Callithrix jacchus: one gene and its partners. The protein of the gene in region 6 interacts with the protein of the main gene of each other region in a pairwise test. Links are inferred from orthologs where the notes say so. Each region holds a gene or a part of one and is shown on either strand. Other genes may lie near its edges. The genes, in order: PRKAB2, FUCA2, NAA10, RPL15, KDM8, MEOX2 and SMAD3.

Region 1 (3,584 bases), on a different chromosome or scaffold from region 6:
AATGTAGCACTGTAATCCCAGCACTTTGGGAGGCCGAGGCAGGTGGATCACGAGGTCAAGAGATCGAGACCATCCTGGTCACCATGGTGAAACCCCATTTCTATTAAAAATACAAAAAGTTAGCTGGGCATGGTGGTGCGTGCCTGTAATCCCAGCTACTCAGGAGGCTGAGGCAGGAGAACTGGCTGAACCCAGGAGGCGGAGGTTGCGGTGAGCCGAGATCGCACCATTGCATTCCATCCTGGGTAACAAGAGCGAAACTCCGTCTCAAAAAAAAAAAAGATAATGTAGCAAATGGAGTGTATCACATGTGATACGGTAAACATTACACCATGAGACTTTTGTTAGCATGTGCGTGTGTGTGGGTGTCTGCAGCAAAGAAGAGACCTAAGCTTACAAGAGAAATCTCAATGTCTCTTTCCCCCTCTCCCCTTCACCCCCCGCCCCACCCTGGCTCACTCTCTTCTTCTTTCTCTGTCTCTCTCTTTCTATATATATATACATACAGAAACAACTTTTGGGAAGGTGCAAGAAAGACACAGCAAAAAAAGAGTAAATACTACAAAATTACCTCTACAAGATGCCTCAGAACTTTCCATAGAGTCTAGCTTTAAAGCATCGAACACCTCAAAATCCGATTTCTTGACATGGATCAAATTGTTAATTGTGCCGAGCTGACTGGTAACCACAGGCTGAAACAGGGAAAAGAAAAAAATACTGAATCTCTCTTTCAAATCCATCTTTTCCATCCAACCTTCCTCTTTTATCCTAAAATTTACATGTGATTAGACTCAGCACCTCCATATTTTATCAAGAGAGAAATCCTCCAGTGTAGGGGAGCAGCTGCCCATCAGTCTTGACAGAAGTGACAGCTAAAATGGGGCTGCTAAGTCAGTGGTTACCCTTGGAGATCAAGGCCTTACCTCTGATGGATCATGAACCCACTGTCCATCCACAAAGAACTTGTATTGGTGTTCTCCCTCAGGGAGGTCCAGGATGGCAACAAAGTCATTATGGCTATGAAGAAAAAGAAAAGCAAACAGGCCGAGTTCCTTTCAGAAGACCAAATATAAAAAACAAGTGGCAATCACAGTATCACATGAAGGATCTCCCAGATTCCTAAGCCACTGTATCCCCTGGTGTGAAAAACAATGTATAAACCCATTCTCCTCTTTTGTATCATCTTGGACGTGTATTTACCAGCTCCTCCCAACAACGTTAGTTCTTAACCAGTATCTGGAAAAGAATAATAAAAGCATGAATCCTCTGGAATGGTGCACCCTAGCATAACTACGTTGCTTCAGCAGAACAAGCTCCTAGCCAGTGCAAAGAAGATAGGTAGGTTCAGGACACAGTGCCTCAAGGTATCCTTTCTCTATTTCCGTGAACCTTTTCTGGAAAATGACCTACCATACAATGGGCCATTCTGACAACCAGTTAGACCATTCATTATTGCTGTGGGAGCAACAAATAACATGACTAGCTAGAACTTCAAAATGTGTTTTGCTTTAGTGCAGAAGTCAGGGCAACAAGCCTCAGCCAGTTACAGAAGACTTCCCACAAGCACAGCCCTAATGAATGGAGCCACAAAGCTATTATGAATCCCTCTGAGGCAATCATATTCGAAGGGGTAAAACATCTCTGACTCACTATGAAGTTTAAAAAAATCCCACAGATATACTAAGTGGCCACAGAAAGGGCATGTTCTAGAGAGAGTCCTTAGCAGTGGGGAAAAGTAGTCCAGTGGCGTTTCTCTTCTGAGAAAAGAAATTAGGTCACTATTCCTGGACCCTTAGATTCAACCAAGACACTTGTCTTCACCTCTTAATCAGTGGAATCTTGGTGCTCCAATTGTTGAAGGACCCAGAGATGAAGACCTCCTTGCCTCCTTCAGACCAGCGGATAACAGTGGGCCGGGCCTGCTGTGTGGGCTTTACGGAGTCCTCCAAATCCTGCTGCCAGGATACAAACTCTTTGTCCCCAGGGAGCTGTAAGAAGGAGTAGGTCATCCCTAGAATAAACTGTGACCCAAGAATTCTAAAAGGTCACTCTCCTCCCTAGGGTAGAGAAGGATGCTAGGCTTTAGCTAAGGATATAAACCCCACAATCAGCAACTAAATCTGAGTTTGAACAAATTATAGAAAAAAAAAACTCATTTAGGACCAAAAATGGTCAAATGGCCTATGCTTAAGTACCTCCTAAATCATAGCCTGACTTTTGAGTCTACCTGCATCATCCACCCTTTCCGCGCCTTAGACTCTCCTTCAAAAAAAAGCAAGAAAAAACTATTCCCTACCACTAGTTTAACTCATAAGCAGGCAATTATTATACACTTCTGAGTCTTTAAGAGAAAAAAACATATAAAAACAAAGTATGGTTCTATTAAAAAATAATATATATTTTTATAGGCAAATATGAATAGCTCTCAATTACCAGCTGTAATGGAAGTTAGAGACATCAAAATTCATAATTCATAAACGCTATTTCTGCTAATAAGTTACAAAAAGAAGAAACAGTAAAAACTCAAAAACCGGATCACTGATTTCTTAAAACTTGAGAAGTAGCTATGAAATCTTACTTGCTCCCCTGTGCTAGGTTTATACTAATTATTTCAGGAGTAGGAACAAAAATTCTAGAACCTCAAGGAGCAAGAGATCGAAAATACAGTTTCCTTTATCAAGAGTAGTAATCTTACCAAATGAGGTATGTGGGATTGCAAAAAAAAACATCTCCTGTTTCTTTTCATTATCATCCTTTGGACCAAGAGTTGGCAGACAGCCAGTGAGCCAGATGCTTTTATCAAGTTTTATTTGAAAACAGCTCCACTTATTTGTCTACCTATTATTTATTTATTGAGAAACGGCCTTGCTCTGTCACCCAGGCTAGAATGCAGTGAGTGGTGTGATCATAGCTCACTGCAGCCTTGAACTCCTGGGCTCAAGCCATGTTCCCAAGAAACTGAGACCAGAGGTGCGAGCCACCATCCCTGCCTTGTTTACCTGTATTACTTATAGCTACTTACAAGCTACAGTGGCAGAATTGCACAGCTGTAACAGAGACTGCATGGTCTACAATGTCTAAAATAGTTACTACCTGGCCCTTCACAGAAAGTTTGCTGACCCCTGTTTCAGATTGGTTTAAGTGACTCTGGTAAATGAGACTGTAGATTATTAAGCCTAAATATTACCAAATAGAATAATGTGGGCTTCCCCCCCCCCCAAAAAGGACTGGCTTATTCATTTGGGCCTTCTTTTCAAAATGGTTGACATAGTTTCCCCTCCATACATTCTCGTGATATTCCCCAAAACTACAGTACGAGACATCAGTAGCAGGATAATCCAAAGTAAACAGAGAAAGAGAATTGAAAGGACTTTCACATTATATAAGGAACTGACTTAAGAGAAAACTACATATTCTCAGAACAATGTACTCTTGCATGACTGACTGTGTTAGAATTGCAAGAATTTTACATATGCCTAAGAATAACCCTAAGATTCTGATTCAGATATAAGATCTGGGAATCTATTTTTAAAAAGCTTCCTAGATAATACTGTAATTATGTTAAAATAAAGTAAAAAAGCTTC
Region 2 (4,262 bases), on a different chromosome or scaffold from region 6:
GCTCATGCCTATCATTCTAGCACTTTGGGAGGCTGAGGTGGGTGGATCACCTGAGGTCAGGAGTTTAAGACCAGCCAGTCCAACATGGTGAAACCCATCTCTATGAAAAAAAACTACAAAAATTAGTCTGCTATGGTGGTGGGTGCCTGTAGTCCTGGTCACCTGCGAGGCTGAGGCAGGAGAATTGCTTGAACCAGGGTGGCAGAGGCTGCAGTGAACCTAGATTGTGCCACTGCACTCCAGCAGGGGCAACAGAATGAGACTGTCTCAAAAAACAAACAAACAAACAAAAAACAGGTGGAGGAGATAAGCTTCCCAAATGTCCTTTTGATTAATCATTCCAAGGTGTTGATGGCTTTTCCCAAGCTTGCAGATTTCTTAAACATTCATTCCACTGGTTTCACCTGTCTCAGATAATCTGCTTGTTTAATGCAGTGGTTCTCAGGAAAGTTTGGCTCACTGCCGGCAACGTCAGAATCTTTTTTTTTTTTTTTTTTTTTTTGAGACAGAGTCTAGCTCTGTTGCCCAGGCTGGATGGAGTGCAGTGGTGCCATCTCGGCTCACTGCAACCTCTTCTTCTCGGGTTCAGTTCAAGCGATTCTCCTGCCTCAGCCTTCCGAGTAGCTAGGACTATAAGCTCACACCACCCCACCCCCCCTAATTTTTTGTATTTTTAGTAGAGACGGAGTTTCATCGTGTTAGCCAGGATGGTCTCAATCTCCCGACCTTGTGATCTGCCTGCCTCCGCCTCTGCTGGGATTACAGGTGTGAGCCACGGCGTCCGGCCCAACAACAGAATCTTCTGGGAACTGGGTAGAAATGCAAATTCTTGGGCCCCAACCTAACTGCTGAATCTGAAGCTCTTGGAATTTCCTCTGACATAAATTCGAGGTTGACAGCCATGGTTCTAACATACAGACCTTGGGAGCTGATACAGAGGCTGAGAACCATCTAGGTTACTTTCCATGTTCCATCTTGGCGAGACCTGGCTGAGGTTACTGCCCTGACCTTCTCGTCCACGACTCGGACGTGTGGAGCAGCACTCAGGCGGGCTGGTGGCGTGGTCCTCTTGGGCAGATATTTGGGCAGGGTCGTGCCTGCTTGAGGGCAGAGGCGCTGGTCACAGGGCCCTGACGCAGACTCATATTTTCCCCCTCAAAGCGGACAGAGCCTTAGCAAAGCCATGGCAGCTGGCTTTGGGGTAATGGGGGCCTCCTTAGTCACGCTGAGCGATGCAGCCCTCCTGGGGTTATTGCGAGTGCCCGGGAGAGTGGCGACTCCCGCCCCGGAGGGGGAAGGGTGGCCTGTTTCCAAGTCCGGCTTGGTCAGGTGACAGCGGCGCGGCATACTCAGCAGCAATAAAACGGAAGGACAGCCCCTGTGAGGCCGCGCCAGCCTGCAAAGAAGACAGCCGGCCCGCGCGGGGGGACATGCGGCCCAGGGAGCTCCCCGGCCTCGCTCTCCCGCTGCTGCTGCTGCCGCCGCTGCTGCCGCCTTGCCCTGCCCGCAGCGCTGCGCGCTTCGACCCCACCTGGGAGTCCCTGGACGCCCGCCAGCTGCCCGCGTGGTTCGACCAGGCCAAGTTCGGCATCTTCATCCACTGGGGCGTGTTTTCCGTGCCCAGCTTCGGTAGCGAGTGGTTCTGGTGAGTGCGCTCCTCTGCGTCTTCTCTGCCGCGCTCTTGTTCCCACCCGCAGGCTCCAGCCACCACCCAGCGGGCCTGGTGCTGCCTGCACCCTCTTCGGTTTCACCTCCCACTTCCGGGTTTCGAATGTGGGGTTTCTTGCCGAAGTGTGTCGTGCTGAATGAACAGGGAATTTTTCTTCCTGTAACTGCAAGAGTTTTCAGACACACCTGACTCCTCAGCTTCTTCACAGTTGCCCATATGAAGCTGTAGTTATGACACTACAACATCGAGCTACTAGAGACACTCATCAGTTTGTCCAGGGCCATCACATGAGCGCGGACTCAGACACAATGGCTCGTGGCTGCTCTGCCAGTTTGCAGTCATTCTGGAGTGAACTTATGGTTAAAACATAGTCATGAGTATGTGAAACGACTGTTCATTTGAACACCATTGGCTATTTAAGGTTAATATGTTACCCATGTGTGGCTCCAGGAACTTTTAAAAGAGGTTCTGGAATGGTACTCTTAACGCCACCCAGTTATACTGCCATATGAAAGGTGCTGCACAAAAATCCGTGCTTTAGATTTTACTTTGAGATCTATGTGAGAATGTGCATATAATTTCTTAAACTATTGCACATGTCTTTTCTGGATAAATGCTACAAGTATGAAGTTCTTTAAAATAGAAATATTTTGTGTGCATATACAGATACATGCACATAATATATTCTTTTATTTTATATATTTATTTAGAGACGGAATCTGACTCTGTCGCCCAGGTTGGAGTGCAGTGGGCTGGTCTTGGCTCACTGCAACCTTTGCCTGCTGGGCTCCAGCGATTCTCATGCCTCAACCTATGGAGTAGCTAGGACTACAGGCATGCGCCACCATGCAGGCTAATCTTTTGTATTTTTTAGTAGAGATGAGGATTTGCCATGTTGGCCAGGCTGGTCTCGAACTCCTGACCTCAGATGATCAGTGGTGGCTCACGCCTGTAATCACAGCACTTTGGGACACATAATATATTCTTAAGTAAAATAAAGGAATCATTAAACAATAAGTATTTATTTGACTATATACTACATAAATAGTATACATCCAAATTAACATACTATATTTAATAGACAATACAGAGTATGAGCTATATGTTATATTAACATTACACAGTATACACTATACCATGCTTACGGTAGGGGTAGAAAAATTACACCACCATTCTGTTAGGGTCTCTGCTGGGTCCGAGAATTAAATAGACATTGTGTGATTAAATTATATGGGGAGGCTTAAAAAATAAGAGTTATTTGAACAAGGTCTGCACAGGATTCTACTTCTTATCTTTGAAGCTTAGGATGTTGCCTTTTCTTCTAGTATAGAGCATCTTTCACACTGGAATTTCATCTTCTGCTCCTAAGAAACAGCACAAGGGTCAAAGTGCTTTTCATGCTTCTGCTATTTTTCAAGTTTCTTTACATTTAATAATATGCCACAGTATCATATTTTAGCCCTTTCATTACAAAGAGATTGACCACCTGCAACCAGTAACCTTTCTTATTAGTAGGCCAGTTGATGTAAAAAAATAAAACTGGGTAAGCTATGGAGAATTATTCATGTACTTTAAATAATTCAACTTGTAAAACAGAGACTCTTTCTTCTTATACCAAAACATAGCTACTTCAAAAAGATGTTACAAATATTTATTTGCATGTTTTGGGCGGTAAGGAATCTTGAGTTTATTTTGGAAATGTTTTAGGTTAGTGTGGTACATAATTAACACATTTTCTTCCCCCTAAATTGTATCTTATATTGTCATTTTCTTCAATCGTGAAGATTAGGTAAAGATATATTGGTACCAGAAGAGGATTTGACATTTGTTAAAACTAGTACTATGCCAAAATAAAACAGCTACTTTTGAGTCGTTTTATTCTTTGCTATGAATAACTTCATTTTCTACAAATAAACCTATGGTTGTTTGTTTTGACCTAGAATAAAGGTCAATAAAGATACTTCTCATACTAAATAAAATGAGAACACATTCCTGAAGATCTGGAAATGCATTAACCCTGTGGAAGATTTTTTGATTATCTATGATTTCCCTTTGTATCCTCTGCTCCTTACTCTCAATTTGACTTTCAGGCAATCAACTGTACAGATGAGTATATCTGACTGTCCTAAATGGCTATTTTTTTTTTTTTTTTGAGACGGAGTTTTGCTCTTGTTACCCAGGCTGGAGTGCAATGGCGCGATCTCGGCTCACCGCAACCTCCGCCTCCTGGGTTCACGCAATTCTCCTGCCTCAGCCTCCCAAGTAGCTGGGATTAGAGGCATGCGCCACCATACTCAGCTAATTTTTTGTATTTTTAGTAGAGATGGGGTTTCACCATGTTGACCAGGATGGTCTCAATCTGTTGACCTCGTGATCCACCCGCCTCGGCCTCCCAAAGCCTAAATGCCTATTAAAAACCAAATATAAATGATGGACTTTCTACCATAAATGCCTCTTTTCATCTCTCAGCATGAAATTTGAGTCTAGACTGTAGGGGAGAATGCAGGTTCAAATTAGATGATACTAGGAGAAATTCTCTCCTTTCTTCAACTTTCTGAATGTCCAGGTTCTCTTTTTCAGTTCAATTTAAAAG
Region 3 (2,692 bases), on a different chromosome or scaffold from region 6:
AGGGAGGACTCAAGGACCACTGACAGGGCTTGAGCAACTGGGCATCTGGCTGGGTCATTACTCAGACAGGACAGCTGTAGACAGGCCCAATGAGCAGTTGGATGTCTACATCTGAAGCCCACGGGGTGTAGTGGAGCTGCTGTAGCCCAAAGCAAGTGTGATTAGGAGAGAAAAGGGCTGGAGGTGGGACACTCAAGAGCCAAGCAGAAGTACTGAAGAATGGGAGCCCGCTGTTGAGCTTTGAGCCTGAGCGGCCGAGGCTTGCACAAAACACATTCGGCGTGGCCGAGCAGGCCTCTGAGGCAGGGTCTCTCCCGGAAGTCTAGGGCCTCCTTCCCTGGGGCCACAGCTGCTGAAGGTTATGAGACTGGGGAGTCCCACCCCCAAGGCTCTCACAAAGCTCCTCCCTTCTACTCGGGCCTGGCAGGATGCCCTGGCTTAAAAGGCTGTGAGGTTCACATCCCCACCAGACAGAGGAGCTGGAGAAACACACCTTCTAAATGTGCAAGCGCACGTGCGCATACACACACACACACACACACACACACACACACACACACACAAAGTTCCCCAGTGCCATAGAGCGAATTTATTGTGAAAGCTCGTGGGGTGAGGAAGGGCCGGGGCAGGCTCTAGGAGGCCGAGTCGGAGGCCTCTGAGCTGTCTTTGACATCTGTGCTCTCTGTGGTCTCGCTGACCTCGCTGAGGTCCTTGCTGTCCCCTCCACTATCCTCAGCAGCCAGGCCCTTCTCCTCACGACAGGCCTCTCCTGAGTTCGGAGGTGAGCTGCCTTTGCTCTCCACCTTGTTCTCCATGGCGCCCAGCACCATGTGCCTGCCCTTCTCCTTCAGCTCCAGGTGCCGCCTCAGCTGCCGCCAGGAGCCCAGGGAGAAGCGGGAGCAAAGATACAGGGCCTAAGTTTCCAGACAAGGGGAGCCTGGACTTGTCGCTGGCTGAGGGGACGGGCATAATGAGAAGCAGCAGGGCTAGGAAAGACACACGGGACTGAGTGGGGACACCTGGCTGGAGCCTTGCCCACTGCTCCCTGGGTTCACTGACTACCATGGAGGCCCCCACGACCGAGTGCTGCCCCTTCAACAGCCCTGCCACCTTGGGCAGAACCCTGACTCAGAACTACCTCTGAGCAGGCAGGCCACCCACTGGTCCCAGGCTGTCCCACTTCCCTTCTAAAAGCCTCCTCCGTCTGCCTCTCCCACCACCCTCCAGGCTGCTGCTAGGCAGACAGCCTCCTCTAAAGCCCAGCCTAGGAAACTGAGGCCGTGAGTCCTGGCAATGTGGCCACAAGGGCTGGCGCCCAAAGTTGGTCTTGCTTCCAGCCACTGTCCCAGGGCTCTCAAGTGCCGCCACCTCCCCCCCGCCCACAGGGCCGACCCCACTGGCCTCGCTTGGCTAAACTGCAGCGCTCTCACCTCGTCCGCCATCTGGGTGAGATCCCGCTTCATGGCGTAGGCATCCTCCCCATCTGCATAGTATTTGGGCTCCACTTCACTGATCCTGGGGGCAGAGGGCAGAGAGCAAGGAGGAAGACCCATACCCAGGACACATCCTCCTCTGCTCCTGGCATCATGGCTACTGAAGCAAGGTGACATGTTTTCTCCCTGAAGGCTCCATCCTGAGACAGCAAGTCCAGCCTGAAAGAATCCTCCAGTGGCCCCACTTCCAGTAAAGGCTCCAGGTAACAGTGGCCCGCCCCACCCCTGTCCTGTTCCTGTTCTGTGTCCTTAGCCTGGCTACTAAGGATTCCCCTTCTGTGGTTTCTTGTGAGCTGAAGCCCTGAATTCAGCCTTCCCCTTCCCTTTCTGCCCTGCTTCCTATCCCTTACTGAGCTGCCTCACCACAGTGATGAAAATACAGGAACGTGGGTGAGCCCGTTTGAGGGCTGCATCCCTATGCAGCACAGCCCAGCCCGCACTGGGGAGGCACGCGTGCAGGCTCGGGTGGCCATGTCCTGGAAGGCTGGCCCTGTCAGACCTCAGACATGAGGACTGTTGACTTCACTATAAAGCAGTTTCCACCAGACATCCTCATCTGGGTCACAGATCCTTCCTGCCAGCACCCAGCCGAGGCCACCGCCCTTCCCAACAGTCAAACTGGTGCTGAGTGCAGTTAGCATCCCTCCACGGGCACACGGGTAGCCCACCCCAGCTTCACTTGCAAGCACTTTTTTCCACTGTCTACTGGGCACACTGACTGCCAGGTTCTCTCTCCTGGGCCAGGCAAACGGGGCCTCCGGGTCCTCGGCAGACCTGCCCCATCCACTAGGCTGCCTGGCCGCCGGCCCTTTCTTCCTGAACATGCATTCTCCTTGCTTCTGCTCTCTCTTAGATGCTTCCAGGCGCTTGGTCACACAGAGTCCTGCTCCTTAGCATCTGCTCATGCCAGAGACCCACACATCTCTATTCCCAAACATGACTAAACAACCCTGTGCCCTTCACCAGCCTCAGCCAGCATGGGCCAGAGCTCCTCCATCACAACACACATGGAGCACATTTCAGCCATCAGCCACCAAGTGAGTGGGGAGGCATCTTGGCAGCGCTGGGATCCACAGCCTCCTCCCCGTAGCTAGCCCACCCCCTGCCTGGAAAGCAGCTCAGCTGGTCTCAGCGGCCCTGACAGCCAGACCTGGGACCAGCCCCAACCCATTACAGACACCAAGATCTACTTACTGAAA
Region 4 (4,232 bases), on a different chromosome or scaffold from region 6:
TGAATCAGTCCCCACTCTTACTCCTAGACTCTTATCTTTTGAGGTCCTATCTTAAATGCTGCCTTCTCTAAAAGACTTCACCTGGACATTCCATCCCAAATGGCAAGCCCCCGCCCCGTAACACTCCCTCATCGCTTCCCTCCCTTTAGCGTATTTCCTTAGCATTTACCAGCAACCCCAATACACAGCTTACTTCTGCCTGGTGCCCGTTTCCAAGAAGGCCAAAATTTCTGCGTTTGCTGCTGCAGCCCTAGCAGCTATGCCTGGCACGTATTAGACACTTAATATTTCTTGAATCAATCAATGAACCAGATGGGGACTCTTAAAAAGGTAAGGCTGTGATTTAAAAATACAGAAAACTATGATGTAGGGAAAAAAGATAATCAAAACCGCTGCGACTAAGAGATACGATTCTCTTCAACCTTTGCCACATTTGAACGCATAATCTGGAAGGAAATTAAAACCACATGACTGTATCAAAAATGAAAATATTCTGGAGAAGCAAAATAAGCCAGTAACCTATTTCTCAATTTAAAAAAAAAAAAAACGCAACGCAAAATGCCAGCATTTTCTCGGCGTTTCTTCCCTAAAACATTCACAACTGCCAAGACCTGTTTAGGTCTTGGAAAATAAATATTTTGCTTTTCTGAAAAACTGTGGTTCTGATGTTAGCAAATTTGGGACGAAATCCGTATGCAGAAAAACCGCCCAGCTGCCCGCAATCCACCCACTCCGTGACCCTTTTTAGGACAAAAATCCCTGGGAGCTGGGGCCTGAGAGCGCGTCACACAGACTGGAGCTGAAGGGACGCAGTGAGCGCCCCCATCCGCGTTGCCCCCGGCTCCGCAAAGGCCTCCCTGGGGGGCTGGGAAAGCGTTGAGGGGTCTTAGCGCAGCGCTGGGGCCCAGATTTCTCCGCCTGTCATGCGGGGGCAGGAGAGGGACAGAGTAGCTTGGAGAAACCCGCAGAGACTCCGCAGGGGGAGACCGCGGTGCGCGAAACAAACCTGTTCTCTCCTCCGACCTCGAAGACACTGGCTCCACCGCGGCCCGCGGCCACCGGCTTTGGAGCCTGGAGCCCAACTTGCTTCCTCCCGCTGCGGGATCTTAGCCGACACTCGCTTGCCGGCCGAGGCCTCGCAGCCAACTCTCTCACCCTTCGAGACGCCCAGGCCGCTCAGGCTCAAATCCTGCGGAGTAGGGGACGGGACAATCGGGACGGCTGCGCGCCACTCGGCAGAACTCCGCCCACCAGGCGCGATGCCGGAACTACATGTCCCATGAGGCTCTGGGAGGCCGCAGCTTTCCACCGGAAAGAGATTGGCTGAGGTGGGGGAGGAGCCCAAAAAGGATTGTGGGAGTACAGCTCTTTCCTTTTCGTCTGGTGGCAGCCATCAGGTAGGCTGAGTTGGGAATCTGCTCTTCCATCCGCCTTTTATCGTGTTCGTCTTCAGCCATCCAGGCTCGGGGACCCTGCATCCTCGGAAATAGGTCTCCCTCCTCTCCGACAAGAGTTGGTCAGGATGCGGGACAGCGAGGGGGTGGAGAGGCGCCCCCCGGGGTGGGTTGGGCGAAGATATGATGGCGGCGCGAATTCGAGCTGGGCCCGGAGCCTGGAGGAGGCGTGAGGCTGACGGATGTGGCGCCCGGAACAAGGCAGCCTAAGTGAGGCTGCTGGTTGGATGGGGTAGATGCATTTTCCTCGAGAGTTAATCCTCCGTGGCGGCAGCAGTACCTTGCCCTGTGGTGTCAGAGACATCTCCTTGCAGGTCCGCCTTGGGGACGCCGCCTGCCGCAGCCACCCGCCCCCTCGGTGCTCAGCTCTAGTTCTATTGATTCCCCCCACCAAAACGTGCCGAGCGCCACTCCGCGTCGCAGTTGCGGAGGTGACTGAACGCGGCTCCGTGGGCGCTGCTGTGGGGGTTGGGCTAGCTGTCTCCGGCGGTTGGTGCCGAGCCGTTTTCATTCCCGCGGTGTCCTTGTGCTTGTTGGGGAACTAAGATGGACGGGAAGGGTCGTCGTCTTACTGTACTTAAAGCGGATGATATCTAATGCCCAGTCTGATTACGCAGGTAAGCCAAGATGGGTGCATACAAGTATATCCAGGAGTTATGGAGAAAGAAGCAGTCTGATGTCATGCGCTTTCTTCTGAGGGTCCGCTGCTGGCAGTACCGCCAGCTCTCTGCTCTCCACAGGGCTCCCCGCCCCACCCGGCCTGATAAAGCGCGCCGACTGGGCTACAAGGCCAAGCAAGGTACGTGATCGACTGCGTGGATGCTTGGATGAAACTATTCGAGAAAAGTTGGAAACTAACTGTTAGGAAGACACTGTCGCCCCGGTGTCTTTCTTCGGATAGGGCTTTGGCGAAAGAGGTAGCAACACTGGTCAGTTAAGGAATGCACCGTTGTCTAAAGTGGCAGGTGTGTTAAAGATTACAAATTTTAATGAGTTTAAAGCAGAATCAACAGTGTGCCTCCTGTGTGATTAATTGAAAAATACTGGAATGTGGTTTTTTTTTCCATTAATAGCAGTAGCTTACTCTTGAAGTATTTTTGGTGCAGTGTTAGTAACAAGCCATTGAGTCTTGGCTTCCTATAAAGTCCCTAATTTTGTGTGTGTTTGTGTGTAGGTTACGTTATATATAGGATTCGTGTTCGCCGTGGTGGCCGAAAACGCCCAGTTCCTAAGGGTGCAACTTATGGCAAGCCTGTCCATCATGGTGTTAACCAGCTGAAGTTTGCTCGAAGCCTTCAGTCTGTTGCAGAGGTAAATGGTTTTAAGTAGCAGTTACATTGAATACTGCTTGGAGATCGTGAGAGAGACAGATCTAAGCAGCTTTTCTGATTGTACTTAGGTGAGCTGTCTCTTGAATAAAACAGGATTTGTGATTTTTATTAATCTTGGTCAAGAGTAATTAATTGCTTGAAAGACTTGTAAATCTTTGTTACAAATGTGTGTGTATAAACTGGAAGTACTTGTGGAACCTAAGCTTTTGAGGCACAGTAAACTTTATCTTAGAACACATTTCCCCAATTGTGTAGAAGCTGCATTTATGTTGCTAATTTTATGTAGTCAGTTGCAGGTTTTCTTCCAGGTTAGTAAATTAAGCTATGTTCTGTTGTAGGCATTGGCAAACTAGGGACTGTCTCCACTAGCTAAAAAATTTTTTGTTTTGTTTCTTAAAGAGTCAGGAATATCCAGAAGAGACCAAATGTGGCCTGCACAGCCTAAAGTACATACTAAATATTGTTAAAGCTGAACATTTCTGAGCTCTCAGTTGTATTGGAAAAAGATAAGGTCCCCAAACCCTAAATTTTGTTAGCCAGATGTTAACATTCGTGCCCTAGTGCAGAATGGAGTGATAAGGGAATGAATGTGTTTCAGTGTATGTTTATGTGTGGTGTTTTAGCATGTCTACTTTATCTCATTATGCTTACTGGAGACAGTCTGGGGAGAGATGCTTAGTAAATACTTGGAACAGTAAAAGACTAGTCTGGTGGTGAACTAGAGGTGAGAAAGTTCTTTCAACTTGCTGCTATAGGCAATGTGGGAGACTGATGGTGGGCCTTTTTTCCTATTCTAGGAGCGAGCTGGACGCCACTGTGGGGCTCTGAGAGTCCTGAATTCTTACTGGGTTGGCGAAGATTCCACATACAAATTTTTTGAGGTTATTCTCATTGATCCATTCCATAAAGCTATCAGAAGAAATCCTGACACCCAATGGATCACCAAACCAGTCCACAAGCACAGGGAGATGCGTGGGCTGACATCTGCAGGCCGAAAGAGCCGTGGCCTTGGAAAGGGCCATAAGTTCCACCACACTATTGGTGGTTCTCGCCGGGCAGCTTGGAGAAGGCGTAATACTCTCCAGCTCCACCGTTACCGCTAATATAAGTAAAGTTTGTAAAATTCATGCCTAATAAACAATTTAGGACAGTCATGTCTGCTTACAGGTGTTCTTTGTTAAAATTAGTCTGCTGATTGTTTCATGAATGCTTTGTCAAATTCAAGTGCAATAATGTTTGAAGACAATACGTGATATGGTGTATGTTTCTAATAAGATAAACATTTTTGTCTTTGCTTTATCTTATTAGGGAGTTCTATGTCAGTGTATAAAACATACTGTGTGGTATAATAGGTTTAAAATAAACTCTTTAAAAGAAAAGTACTGAAACTAGCCCTGTAGATTTGTCTGGTGCATGTGATGAAACCTGCAGCTTTATTGGGGTGCTG
Region 5 (3,584 bases), on a different chromosome or scaffold from region 6:
GCCCTGCCTCTCCCATCCATTTATCAAAAGCAGTTTCCACATGGCCACCCAGTCCTTGCAATTTTTTAGGAGTGGCTGCACCATCATTTACTTAACTATCTCCCAACTGGGTGACCTGAGGCGTTACTTGCTGTTTGAGGCCTCAGTGTCTAGTGTCCACAGGTGTGAAACTGCTGGGGAATGGCTGGGCATGGTGGCTCATGCCTGTCATCCCAGCACTTTGGGAGGCTAAGGTGGGAGGACTGCTTGAGCCTGGGAGTTTAAGACCAGCCTGGGCAACATAGAGAAACCTCCATCTCTAGAAAAAATTTAAAAAGCCGGGCGTGGTGGTGCACACCTGTAGTCTCAGCCACTCGGGAAGCTGAGGCAGGAGAAATCACCTGAGCCTGGGAGGTCGAGGCTGCAGTAAGCTATGTTTTTTTTTTTGAGACAGAGTCTTGCTGTTACCCAGGCTGGAGTGCAGTGGTGTGATCTCGGCTCACTGTAACCTCTACCTCCTGGGTTCAAGCAATTCTTCCAACTCAGCCTCCAGAGTAGCTGGGATTACAGGTGTGTGCCAGAACATCTGGCTAATTTTTGTACATTTAGTAAAGATGGGATTTCACCATATTGGCCAGGCTGGTCTTGAACTCCTGACCTCAGGTGATCCGCTGGCCTCGGCCTCACGAAGTGCAGGGATTACAGGCGTGAGCCACCATGCCTGGCCCCCTCTTTCATTTTTTTAACCCGAGGTGAGGTTGAATATTTTCCTGCATGATCTATTTTCATTTTGTGAACAGTCTGTTCAGGCTCCTCGACTTCTACCTCCTGGGGCTCAAGATTTTTTCCTTATTGATTTGTACCATTCCTTACATAATAGAGATATTCATTGTCTGACATATTTGTTGACAATTTTTCTTCACCCTTTATTGGATTTTGTTTTATTTTGGTTACATGCATGTGTGTTTACTGACAATCATTTGCATTTTTCTTAGATAAAAGTAATATGTGGCCGGGCGTGGTGGCTCACACCTGTAATCCCAGTACTTTGAGAGGCTGAGGTGGGCAGATCACCTGAGGTCAGGAGCTGGAGACCAGCCTGGCCAAATGGTGAAAACTCCGTCTCTATTAAAAATACAAAAATCAGCCGGTTGTGGTGGTAGGCACCTATAATCCCAGCTACTTGGGAGACTGAGGCAGGAGAATCACTTGAACCTGGGAGGCAGAGGTTGCAGTGAGCTCAGACTGTGCCATTGCACTCCAGCTTGGGTGACAGAGTGAGACTCCATCTCAATAATAAGAATAAGAATATGTATTGTAGGAAATTCTGAAAACATAGCAAAGCATTTAGAAAAAATGTCAAAAACATCCCATAATTCCAGTACTGAGTGTCTAGTACAGTCTTAGCCATTTCTTTCTGTGGGTCGGTACTCTGCCACTCTTACAGACAAGGAGACCGAGGCTCGAAGGAGGTTAAGTGACTTGCTTGGGGTTGCTGTGAGGCTTGTATGTCAGCACCAGGGCCTGAGGAGTAAACCATGTTCTGTTCATGGAGGTGGTCTTTGGAACAGACATAGACTCAAGGGGTGGGCAAGATCGATCCCCAAAACAGATGTCAGCTACTTGTAGTATCTCATTCAAACCCGGGAGCAGAGAGATGGGAGCAGCCAGAGGTATCACCTTGCCTGGGTGAGACTTCAGCAAGCCCATCAAGAAAAAGCTGAAAGAAATGGGCCGCTGCTGGCTGCAACTCTCGCCCACATAATCTATTTAAGCTGTTTCTCTTTCTCTCAGGAACCATGAAGCTTCCCTGCTGCCTCTCTGCTGAAAGAGCGCTGCTTTTGCAAAAAAAAAGGAAAAAGAAGTTTTCCTTTTTTTTGAGAAAATGAATGGAGCTGTCTATTTTCAAAATCAATGGGGACTGAGCATGGTGGCTCACACATGTAATCGCAGTGCTTTGGGAGGCCATGGCAGGAGGATCCGTTTAGGCCAGGAGTTCCAGATTAACCCGGGAAACATAATGAGACCCCATCTCTACAAAAAATAAAAAATAGGCTGGGCGTGGTGGCTCACGCCTGTAATCCCAGCACTTTGGGGGACTGAGGTGGGTGGATCACAAGGTCAGGAGTTTGAGACCAGCCTGGCTAACATGGTGAAACCCTGTCTCTACTGACAAAGCAACAATTGGCCAGGCATGGTGGCAGACACCTGTAATCCCAGGTACGCAGATTCTGAGGCAAGAGAAGCATTTGAACCTGGGGGGCAGAGGTTACAGTGACCAACACCATGCTACTGCACTCCAGCCTGGGTGACAGAGCGAGACTCTGTCTCAAAAAAAGAATGAATAAAAATAAAAAATAAAACTAAAAAAAAAGCTGGGTGTGTTGCCACGCATCCATAGTTCCAGCTACTAAGGAGGCTGAGGCAGAAGGATTGCTTGAGCCCAGAAGTGGAGGCTGCAGTGAGCCGAGATTGCACTACTGCACTCCAGCTGGGGCGACAGAGCGGGAGCGTACCTCAAAAAACAAACAGGAATTCAGAATCAATGGAGATGCTATTTTCCGTCAGAGGGGTTGCAGGCCATGAGGCTCCACCCCAGGGGAGAGATAACTTGGAATTTCTAGAACAGCAGGGTTGCTGGATGGCTCTTGTGCTTGGGGACAATCTCCCCCACATACCTTTGTGCAGGGCTGCTCCGGGGTGGAGCCGTGGGCAGGCCTTTTTCCAGGGAGGTGTGCCTGGAGGATGGCAGCGACTTTAAGGAGGACGTCCCCCAGGATGGCTGCCCCCATCAGCAGGCCCATGTCACAGACCCGCAGGGCTGCAGCCACAGTGGTGGCGTCCCCAGGTGCCTGGCACAGACACAGGACTTTCAGGAGGCAGCCCATGGCGTAGACCTGGCGCCAGTCTTTGTCTACGTCCCGCCACGTGCCCGTGTTGAGCTTCTCCCAGGAGTAGTCCAGGATCACCTCGCTGGTCTGCAGACACTCGGCCCTCCTGCCCTTGTAGAAGAGCTCAGTGGCTTGCTGCAGCAGCGTCACCACGCTCCTCTCCACTTTCTCCCCGAGGTCCAGCTTCAGGTCTTCTTTAGTGTGTGGCAGGAGTGCCCTGAGGGCCTCCCAAAGAGTGCCTTCTCCGGCTAGGGGCTCTTCAGGGCAGTGGGTGTCTCCAGCCATTGGGCCACTGCCAGCTCAGTCGGTCCCGTGCCTGGGGAGGCGGAGAGAAACAAGAGTTAGACACCAGGACAGACCTGTCCCCTGTGCCTTCCTGCAGCTTCCTGCATCTCATCTGGGAGGATTTTTCAACAGTGGTCTTCTCTGCTGGGGACCTCTGGAAGGGACGGCCCCCTTCTGTCTGTATCACTGCTGTATCTTCAGGGCCTGTTACAACACCTGGTACTCAGCGAGCACTGGACAAATGTGTGTTCAGAAAGCAACGTGTATATTGTCCTTGTCTGCCCTGCCTCCCATACCCCTCCGCTGCCTGGCAAACTCCTACCCAACCTTTAAGGCCCATCTTAAACACCTGTATGTGAGACCTGCCAAGATTCTCCAACAGTGTTCTGTGTTCCTGCAGCCCTTGAGCTTCTCTTTCTAGCACCTGTG
Region 6 (4,384 bases):
AATAGAAAACAATTCGATCTTTCACACGAATGTTATTGCGAAGCCACCATTCTGCAGCGTGACTTAAAAGAAAAGATAGGCTTAAACAGGGGGACTGGAAGAGGAGAGGAAAGGTTCTGCTTTGGGGACACCTCTCAAAGATTAATCAATACTTTTTCCTAATTCAAACCAGATGTCTAGCCCAGTTTGCTGTACCCATTAATCCCATTAACAACTTCAAAGACCTGGTCACCATCCTCTGGACACCTGAGACAATGAAAATAACAGGGCGACACTGCTGGTGGTGCAGTCGGGGCTCCGGGTGGAATAGGTGACTACAGATATTCTCCTGATCCGACACGTCCCAGATCCGACGTGACTGTTCCTCCTGCTCATTAAAGCCCATTCACTTGTGTATAAACGACTGTGCCCCAGCGGATCTTGTCGCTCACCAAGCAAGTGGCAGTATCAAAGCCCTGCCCTCGCTCTCCCATGCTTACTGGAGGCAAGTTATCGAGTTTATTTTCAGGGATGCAAAGATGTAATCAAGCGCCCAAGCTTAGTGAATTCTTAGAGCTATCGAAATTTAAGATTTCTCAGTAAATGGAGCAGTGGTGTTAAGAGACACGATTAGTGGATTTATTTTTGAGCAGAAGAGTGGATTTCTAGAGGGAACTGAAGAGACCTGGGCTAGCTCCGGAGGGGAGAGGCTAGAAATGTGCATGCAAATCTACACATCTCATGTGACTGGGACAAAATCGCTTGGAAATAATTCTTGACCCAGGAAAATTTCTTCTTGGTGGACGAGTGGCTAGGAAATTGAGCGAGACCAGGAAAGCGGGGGGGAGGGAGACTCCACCGGGCATCGCACGTGAGGATGCCAGAGAGCAGGCATCTGCAATTCGCGCTTACCTCCCACCCACCCCACCAGGTCTTCCTTAGGTCTTCCTCTCAGGTCTTTCCGCACTGTGAACCACACTTTCCAGGCCATGGTGCACGTCCCCGAAACCTCAGACCTGGCGTCCCAGCCTCTTAACCACCACCCACAGAAACTAACTGCGAAAACCTAGGCGCGCGGCGGCGCCCTGGGCACGGGAAGATGCGAAGTTTGAAAAACTTCCAGAGTGCGCCAGGCTAGCTCTGATCTTTTCCTTTAACCCTATCACTTCTTTCGTGTTCCTCAAAGGCTAGGCGTATCCCTAGCTTTTCTGCAGGTGACAGTTCCCAAATGACACTGACAAGTTACGTTTTCCCAAGAGAAAAATTAGTAGGTGGGAAACAGGGTGCTGGGTTGGCGCTGGTGCGCGCCGCGCCCTGGCCTCCAGAGTCTGGAGGGCAGAGCCGCTGCCCTCCCGGGCGGGATTTAGACGCTGGCGCGCCGCTTGTAGTCCTGGTAGCTGGCAGGGCTAGGCGGGCGTGGACGCTCTGCGTCTGTCCAGCCGGCGATAGGAAGTGGAACTGGGAGCGCGTGGCGCAGACTGAGCGGGAGTTTTGGAGGGAGTTTGCATGTGGTCAACTCTGGGCTCCTAAGCCAGCCCCCAGCTCACGTTACAGTCTATTTATAACCTCTCAGAGCCATTTCCCCCTGAAGGCAGTTCACTGGGACCACCTTCTTTTGGCTTCAACCTCTCCCACTCTTGACATCTGAGTAGCTCAGGGAAGCTCTTCCAGGTCCGACTGTTCATATGTAAAGGAGACTGGCCGTTAGGGCTCAGGACCGGGATTATCCGAGCTCTGCAGAAGTGCACGGCTATTGCTTTGAGAGGGGTAAAAAACATCACACGGTTTCCAGTGAAAAGTGACAGAGGGTGGTGGCCTTTAGAACCGCCGTGAAGTCTTCTGCCTGGAACCCGAAACTTGCATGCTATGGAACACCCGCTCTTTGGCTGCCTGCGCAGCCCTCACGCCACGGCACAAGGCTTGCACCCGTTCTCCCAATCCTCTCTAGCCCTGCATGGAAGATCTGACCATATGTCTTACCCCGAGCTCTCTACTTCTTCCTCATCTTGCATAATCGCGGGATACCCCAACGAAGAGGGCATGTTTGCCAGCCAGCATCACAGGGGGCACCACCACCACCATCATCACCACCATCACCACCATCAGCAGCAGCAGCACCAGGCTCTGCAAACCAATTGGCACCTCCCGCAGATGTCCTCCCCACCGACTGCGGCTCGGCACAGCCTCTGCCTCCAGCCCGACTCCGGAGGACCCCCAGAGTTGGGGAGCAGCCCGCCTGTCCTGTGTTCCAACTCTTCCAGCTTGGGCTCCAGCACCCCGACCGGGGCCTCGTGCGCGCCAGGGGACTACGGTCGCCAGGCACTGTCACCTGCGGAGGCGGAGAAACGAAGCGGTGGCAAGAGGAAAAGCGACAGCTCAGGTAAGAGAGCGCCAGGCACCCTCGAGAGTGCGCGCCGGCCTGGAAAGGGGGCGGGGAGATGCCAGGGAAGAGTCTGGCCCTGGAGGGTGGCGGCGGGGAAGAGGGGAATGTGTTAAATTCGGCGGTGAAGCTTTGGTCCTGTTATTTGGGGGCACGTGTTTATCCGAGAGCAACACAGCTAGCAGCTCTAAGCTCTCCAAGGTCCTAAACTAGTTTACCAGAAGGTTGATAAAAAAGGACAAGTGGCTGTGAAATCGATTGCGAAGCGTGACCTTCCATCCCAGCGCGGGGGAGGGAGGGGCGTGTGCCCAGGGATGCCGCGTCCGTTGGGCAGGCGTGCGTGCGTGCGGGTGCTGCTTCTTGACTTTTCTCTTGCAAGTTCCCGACTCTGAGTGGCTTGACTTTTCCCATCGTAAACTGGATTTCCAAATTATTGCACAATATTTGGAACTTGCAATGGAACTTGGCAGAGCACATGAGAAAAAAAAAAAAGTTTTAGTTTTTTTTTTTTAAACATTCTTGTTTGAGAGTTCTTTAAATAGCACCCTATTTCAAATGGTAAAAATTTCCCCTTCTTAGGGAAGAAGATATTATCTAGGAATTCAGATTTTAAGGAATGTGTCAGAGAATTGTAAATAAATACATGCTCACGCTGGAAGAAAGACGAACCTTAATATAGTACATGTTCATGTTGTGTAAGTTAATTACAGAATCTAAATTTCAAGAGTGGAAAATAAATCCCTCTACCAAGTTGGTTTTAGCTGCGGCAAATACTGGGTAGCGAACAGCAACTTGGGTAGTGTCAGTTAGCTACGTGCCTGAAGGTCGTATGCAAGGGTGCGCAGGAAGCGCTGATTTCAGTGAGGATAATTTGAGCAGCCACGCAAAAGGGGAATCTTCCTGACCTCTGGTGCTTGAAGGCACAACTTGCAGAGTAAATTGTAGCAATCCAGAGAAACTCAAAGTTTTCCAGACAACTTTTCAAAGCTCTGACCTACTTCTATTATCATAAAATTGTTAAAAGATACTTTAAAATTGAGAGACTTGTGAGTTTTCTTTCGTGGCTATGGTGCACCCTGGCTTCCATCTTTTTGGAAGGTATTATTTGTTTAATATAATATTTGTATATTTTTCTTCCTCTGCGGAACTGGGTTAATAATAGTCCTAGAAGGTAATCCCATATATTGGTTTGAAGGATTGGAATGTTTATGCTTTTTAAAGCTTTAGGTGAGATGTCACATAAATGAAAATGATTGACCGCATGTTTAATATTCCTCTCCCCTTCGCAGCAATATCAATCGTTCTTCAGCGTTAGTATGGGATAGATTCTTCTGTCAGAAGAATAAAATAACTTTTATTTTCCAAGGATAGGGGATGAACTTTTAATGTTCAATCACAAATTAGTTTTTATAAGAAAGTTAGCAGTGGTGTCACTGATATTTACTGTATTTTCCTAACTATAAGTGAAACTCCCTTTAGATAGTGGAAGGTTAATCGTTGTAAGAAGGTTTCAATTTTTATTAGAAAAACCGTCGATTTTAGAATGCAGTGACAATTTTATAAACTGAACATTCGATATCAGTGTAACTTTTGAAAGAGATCCCAGTTCAGGCTGATGAGAGTACTCTTGCAATTCCCATAAGCCCTTACTGTTCATTTTATTTTTCTGCAATGAGAAACCTACATGATAGCCTTATGCTTCCGGAACTGAGCCACTGCCCTTAAGTTTCTTAGGGCAAACAATTTTCATGCAAGCACATGTTATTTTGTTTGGGGGAAACCAAGAAAATGGAATTCAATAACTGATTTCCTTAATTTATTTTAATAAAACTTTTTTTTTTAAAAAGGAATAATTTAATAACATTTGTCTCTTCCCCCAACTGTGTGGGAAATAGCCATTTAACAAAATTAAGTTCATTTCTACATGTTGAAGCTGATAATGAGGGTAATGGAAAAACAAACAAATATAAGTGTTTGTGTCAGCTGAATAAATTATGAATAAATTAAAACTTGAGTGGAAAGTAC
Region 7 (4,178 bases), on a different chromosome or scaffold from region 6:
TATAACCCCACAGAGGACAAACTACCAAGACCAGGGAAAGCAAGGCCTCTCCGCCAAGCCATCAACAGCCCACAGATACAGGAGCAACGGCACAGACAAAGGTCCACAGGGCCCTCCCCAAGCTAAAAGGGCTTTAGCATTCAGCAAAGAATGTATTCAGATCTTCAAAGCAGAAAGCAGCGTGGGGCAGCAGAAAGAGCACATGCGGTCAGAAGCCCGTGTCTACTACCCAGGCCTTTGCACCTCTCTCTCCTAAAGTTTTCTCAACTTTAAAAATGTGATAATCTTAGGCCTAACAACCTAACCTACTCTCCAGGGCTTGGCTGGTTGCCTGCTTGCTTTTTTTGAGAACCTCGGAAACCATGTGAAAGTGCTTTGTAAACTGTGAAACACTTTTCACAGCTGCCTGTTGTATAATTAATACCACTTTTCTTTTTCAACGCTTAAAGCGCTTGTCTTCAATGCACCACGGCAGATACGGACAAGGTAGGTTTGGGAGCCCCCTCCCCAGACAGAGAAGTAGGATACTCACCCACTCTACCCTCTCCACCCGCACCGAAGAAATACAGAAGAATTAAGAACCCGAGCTGGAACCAAACCCCGAGGTCTCTCTGACCATCACATCACACCACCTCCTCTGAAGTCAATTCTGGCTCCTGATCACACGCCCAGAGACTTCCCCAGACAGCACACCGCCTTCCCTCCCCCTTTATTGACTGGATCCACCCAGTTAAAAAAGAATTTTGTTTAAGTCCGCACTCCCACCATATGTGGCATTTATTTCCAGGGGAAGCCTGCCCTGAGTTCCTGCAGACAGATGTTGCTTTGTGCCTGCCTGACTCTCCTGGCAGACCTTGTACAACTGCCCCAAGCAGGTGGCCAAGGATGGAGTCCACCCTGGCTCCGGAACAGGGATGACAGCCCTTCATGGCTGACAGTCCCTGGTGCTCTCTAATCATTCCTCTGCAGCCTAGGACCTCCAAAACAGCCACCCCCCAACACACACACTCTCTCCCCTGGTTCGGAATCAAAGAAGACTGAGAGGTAGAGACAGGAGGCCAAGGTACCTCCACCCCCAATTCCCAATCAGGCACAGCTAAGCTAAGGAAGCCCCTGGGGGAGTGAAGTCACTGACCCCTTCTATCAGCCATCTGTGGGCTCCCGCCCGACCTAGCTAGCGCGCGACGGGAAGGATAAAGGAGATCCAGACAGATGGCAGAGCGCTTTGGGAAGGAGGGCTCTACAGGAATGCGAGGGCCGATGCGAGGCCCACTTCGGGGTGTGTTTTGTTATCTGCCCGGCTCCAGCCCGCCCCTCTCCCTCGTTCTGCACGACTCAAAATCTCTTGGACTGAAAGGAGGGCAAAAGAGTCGGGATGAGGGGTGGGAAATGAGGGAGGAGACCCTATTTTCTGCCACTTGTCTCTCCCATTTGGAAGTCAGAGCATTTGCACTGCAACCAAAGTGCGTGCGTGCGCAGGGGGCGGGAGACTGGCACAACCGAATCTAAAAATACTCGATAAAAACGCTAATCCCGAAGGCAAAGAAAGAACGAAGAAGGAATCTGTCAATCACGAGGCTCCCGCTCCTCACCCACAGCCCCAGCTGTACGGACCGCATTCCTGTAGAGGAAAGAAGTGGGGAGACCGGACTGAAGAAAAGAAACGCAGAGACACCACCACCTCCACGAGCGCGGGCCGCGGGGGCGGGAGGCGGCGGCGGAGGAGGGGCTCCGGCCCGCGGAGCCGAACAAAGCGGGCCTCAACTTCCAGCCCCAGCTCCCCGGGGTGGGGGCGGCCGAGTCCCGCAGCAACCCGCTCTCCCCTCCCAGGGGTGGAAAGGGAATGTGAGGTTTGGAAGCGAGAGTGCCGCGTGGAAGCCTCGGGCTCTGATCTTTGCAAATACAGAGATGGTTTTGTTTGGGGTCCCCCCACCCCCTTCCTGCCCCTGCTCTTGCTCCCCACTCTTACACGCACGCACACAGTCTCTCTCCCTCTTCCCATCTCCAACCCCACTGGGTCGGCCCCGCAGTGCCAGGGGGCTGCGCTGCTTGCCCCCGGGTCCCCCGGGCGGGCCCCCACCTGGGGATGGTGATGCACTTGGTGTTGACGTTCTGCGTGGTGATGGCCTTCTCCAGCTCGTCCAGCTGCCCCGTCTTCTTGAGCTTCTTGACCAGGCTCTTGACCGCCTTCTCGCACCATTTCTCCTCCTGCCCGTTCTGCTCGCCCTTCTTCCAGCCCAGCAGGCGCTTCACGATCGGGGGAGTGAAAGGCAGGATGGACGACATGGCTAGGGAGGGCGCGCGGGCGGCGAGGAGCGCCCCCGGCGGGGCTGTACTCGGCGGGAAGCCGGGGGCGCAGAGGGGAGCTCTGCCGGGGCCGGCCTCGGCCGCCCAAACTTCGCCTAACTCTCGGCGAAGTTGCCGGGGCGCCGGGCCGGGCCGCGGCGCTGCAGCCTGCGGGGTTCGGCGCGCCGCTCTGAGCCCGGAGCTGCTCCCACGGCGGGGAAAACGGCGGCCAGGCGGGTGGGCGGACGGCAGCGGCGCCGGGTCGGGAAGGCCCCGAACGCGGGGCGGAGGCGGCGGCCGCGAGACTCCGAGTGGCAGCAGAAGTTTGGGTTTCCGCACGGGGTAGCTGTTTGGGTGCCGCCTCCGGGAAGGAAAGTCCAACCCCCGGCCAAACTTCGCTCGCCTCGCTAGCTTTGATGAGCAGATCCCTCCGCCTCTGCTGCCTCGCAGCCCCGCTGCCCTCCTCCTCCCGGCTCGCCGCTCGCTCGCTCGCTGGCTGGGCCGGCCCGGGGCGTACGCCGCGCTCCCGCTCCCGCTCCCGCCCGCTCCCAGTCTGTGTTTCATGCAAATCCGCGTGCAGCCTCCTTTCCTAGCGCTGTCACCGCCCCCTCGCCGCCGGGGCTCCCCGCCTCCTCCCCCGCGCCCCGCCGCCTCCTCGCGCGGGCGTCCTATCCGCCCCCTGCTCAGGGGAGAGCTCCCGGCTGGCCCCCGGCGGGCCGGCTGGCCGGCCACTTCGCCACCTCCCCACGCCCAGCACGCCCACGTGGGCGACCCGGGCGGCAGCGGTCCTGGCTGGAGCGCACGGGATCCCGCGCAGCCCCCACCTGAAGTCGGGCGGGCGCGGGGAGGAAGTCTTGGGAAAGGCGCGGCGAGAAGGGCCGCGGGAGGGAGGGCTGAGCGCGGCCCTTGGCGTTCGCTGTCGGAGCCCACGCTCGGGCAGCTCGATTGCAGTTGCGGGCCGGAGAGGGTTGGACTCGCAGCAAGCAAGCGCTGTCCCGGCGGGAGTGCACCCTGGAGAGGACCCCAGCCCGGGAGGGGGCGCGCGGAAGGCCCGGGCCCAGGAAGTTGGGGCGCGCACTTGGCCTTGCGCTCGCTGATCCCCGTCAAGGCCCTTGGCCGGCTCCGGCGCCCGGGGGCTGTTTTTATTCTCTCGACGGTGAGATCACACCGGCTGAGAGCCTCCGGAACGTGTGCGAAGCGGGGAGGTGGGGACAAGTGGGTCCTCAGAAGTGGAGAGTTGGGATCTCAGTGACAACCTTGACAATGGCTGGAGCCTGGGGTCCCTTGAGCCTTGTGAAGCGAGTACCCGGCAGAAAATGGGCCTCAAAGACATCTGTTGAATTCTTAAAAGGAATGAATGGGGATGCTTTTAAATTTATCTTTGGAAGAAATTTACATAACCGGGTGTTGCTGGATCTCCTGATAGAGAAAGATCGGAAATTTGACACCCAATAAATGCAAGAGAGTTTTGTTTCCAAAGCAATGAACTCACAAAAAAGTGAGGCAAGACAGGAGTATTTGGGAGTTTATGTATTTAAAAAAAAATAAAAAAGCAAAACAACAACAAACCAACTGGCACATTGTGGAGCTCCGGTCTTTTCACCCCACCAAAAGATTTCAGGGGCGTCTGCCCGCAGGCCCCTTGGTGACTTTCAGGAAATACTCCGGTACCCTGGGCCTTTCTCTTGCTGCGGCCTCCCACATCAAACTAGGCAGTGTCTAAGTCCTTTGTTTGTTTTTAACAGCAGGAATCCCCCACCCCCTACCCCCGCTTTGTTTTTTTGTTTTTAAGTTATCTGCAAACCTTCAAGTGGGTGGGGAGTTACAAAGCCCTGTGAGGTGTGTCGGAATACACAAAATAAGGCCAGAAGCGGCAGGAGCCCTTGCCTTGT

The links.
Region 1: the proteins of MEOX2 (region 6) and PRKAB2 interact in binary tests that used the Homo sapiens proteins (3 or more experiments, as listed by UniProt). The link is inferred for Callithrix jacchus from reciprocal best matches to the Homo sapiens genes MEOX2 and PRKAB2.
Region 2: the proteins of MEOX2 (region 6) and FUCA2 interact in binary tests that used the Homo sapiens proteins (3 or more experiments, as listed by UniProt). The two-hybrid records come from large-scale screens. The link is inferred for Callithrix jacchus from reciprocal best matches to the Homo sapiens genes MEOX2 and FUCA2.
Region 3: the proteins of MEOX2 (region 6) and NAA10 interact in binary tests that used the Homo sapiens proteins (3 or more experiments, as listed by UniProt). The two-hybrid records come from large-scale screens. The link is inferred for Callithrix jacchus from reciprocal best matches to the Homo sapiens genes MEOX2 and NAA10.
Region 4: the proteins of MEOX2 (region 6) and RPL15 interact in binary tests that used the Homo sapiens proteins (3 or more experiments, as listed by UniProt). The two-hybrid records come from large-scale screens. The link is inferred for Callithrix jacchus from reciprocal best matches to the Homo sapiens genes MEOX2 and RPL15.
Region 5: the proteins of MEOX2 (region 6) and KDM8 interact in a two-hybrid assay, tested with the Homo sapiens proteins (2 studies listed by BioGRID). The two-hybrid records come from large-scale screens. The link is inferred for Callithrix jacchus from reciprocal best matches to the Homo sapiens genes MEOX2 and KDM8.
Region 7: the proteins of MEOX2 (region 6) and SMAD3 interact in binary tests that used the Homo sapiens proteins (3 or more experiments, as listed by UniProt). The two-hybrid records come from large-scale screens. The link is inferred for Callithrix jacchus from reciprocal best matches to the Homo sapiens genes MEOX2 and SMAD3.

What each region holds. Positions count from the first base shown.
Region 1 is NC_133519.1:7,286,724-7,290,307, forward strand, and holds part of PRKAB2 (5'-AMP-activated protein kinase subunit beta-2), read right to left. Parts: intron 1,989-3,584; coding exon 1,822-1,988; intron 1,018-1,821; coding exon 924-1,017; intron 693-923; coding exon 572-692; intron 1-571. UniProt on the Homo sapiens protein: Non-catalytic subunit of AMP-activated protein kinase (AMPK), an energy sensor protein kinase that plays a key role in regulating cellular energy metabolism.
Region 2 is NC_133505.1:150,287,099-150,291,360, reverse strand, and holds the start of FUCA2 (plasma alpha-L-fucosidase), read left to right. Parts: upstream 1-1,388; 5' UTR 1,389-1,430; coding exon 1,431-1,645; intron 1,646-4,262. UniProt on the Homo sapiens protein: Alpha-L-fucosidase is responsible for hydrolyzing the alpha-1,6-linked fucose joined to the reducing-end N-acetylglucosamine of the carbohydrate moieties of glycoproteins.
Region 3 is NC_133524.1:149,842,101-149,844,792, forward strand, and holds the end of NAA10 (N-alpha-acetyltransferase 10), read right to left. Parts: coding exon 2,688-2,692; intron 1,653-2,687; coding exon of another isoform or gene 1,516-1,652; coding exon 1,431-1,515; intron 915-1,430; coding exon 633-914; 3' UTR 567-632; downstream 1-566. UniProt on the Homo sapiens protein: Catalytic subunit of N-terminal acetyltransferase complexes which display alpha (N-terminal) acetyltransferase activity. Acetylates amino termini that are devoid of initiator methionine.
Region 4 is NC_133518.1:62,266,447-62,270,678, forward strand, and holds the start of RPL15 (large ribosomal subunit protein eL15), read left to right. Parts: upstream 1-1,355; 5' UTR 1,356-1,664; exon of another isoform or gene 1,665-1,885; intron 1,886-2,071; 5' UTR 2,072-2,081; coding exon 2,082-2,253; intron 2,254-2,628; coding exon 2,629-2,765; intron 2,766-3,582; coding exon 3,583-3,888; 3' UTR 3,889-4,232.
Region 5 is NC_133513.1:27,795,582-27,799,165, reverse strand, and holds part of KDM8 (bifunctional peptidase and arginyl-hydroxylase JMJD5), read right to left. Parts: intron 3,187-3,584; 5' UTR 3,156-3,186; coding exon 2,658-3,155; intron 1-2,657. UniProt on the Homo sapiens protein: Bifunctional enzyme that acts both as an endopeptidase and 2-oxoglutarate-dependent monooxygenase.
Region 6 is NC_133512.1:42,792,422-42,796,805, forward strand, and holds the start of MEOX2 (homeobox protein MOX-2), read left to right. Parts: upstream 1-1,566; 5' UTR 1,567-1,845; coding exon 1,846-2,359; exon of another isoform or gene 2,360-2,400; intron 2,401-4,384. UniProt on the Homo sapiens protein: Mesodermal transcription factor that plays a key role in somitogenesis and somitogenesis and limb muscle differentiation. Required during limb development for normal appendicular muscle formation and for the normal regulation of myogenic genes.
Region 7 is NC_133509.1:14,107,566-14,111,743, reverse strand, and holds the start of SMAD3 (mothers against decapentaplegic homolog 3), read right to left. Parts: upstream 2,849-4,178; 5' UTR 2,287-2,848; coding exon 2,081-2,286; intron 1,707-2,080; exon of another isoform or gene 1,620-1,706; coding exon of another isoform or gene 1,615-1,619; exon of another isoform or gene 1,593-1,614; intron 659-1,592; exon of another isoform or gene 533-658; intron 1-532. UniProt on the Homo sapiens protein: Receptor-regulated SMAD (R-SMAD) that is an intracellular signal transducer and transcriptional modulator activated by TGF-beta (transforming growth factor) and activin type 1 receptor kinases.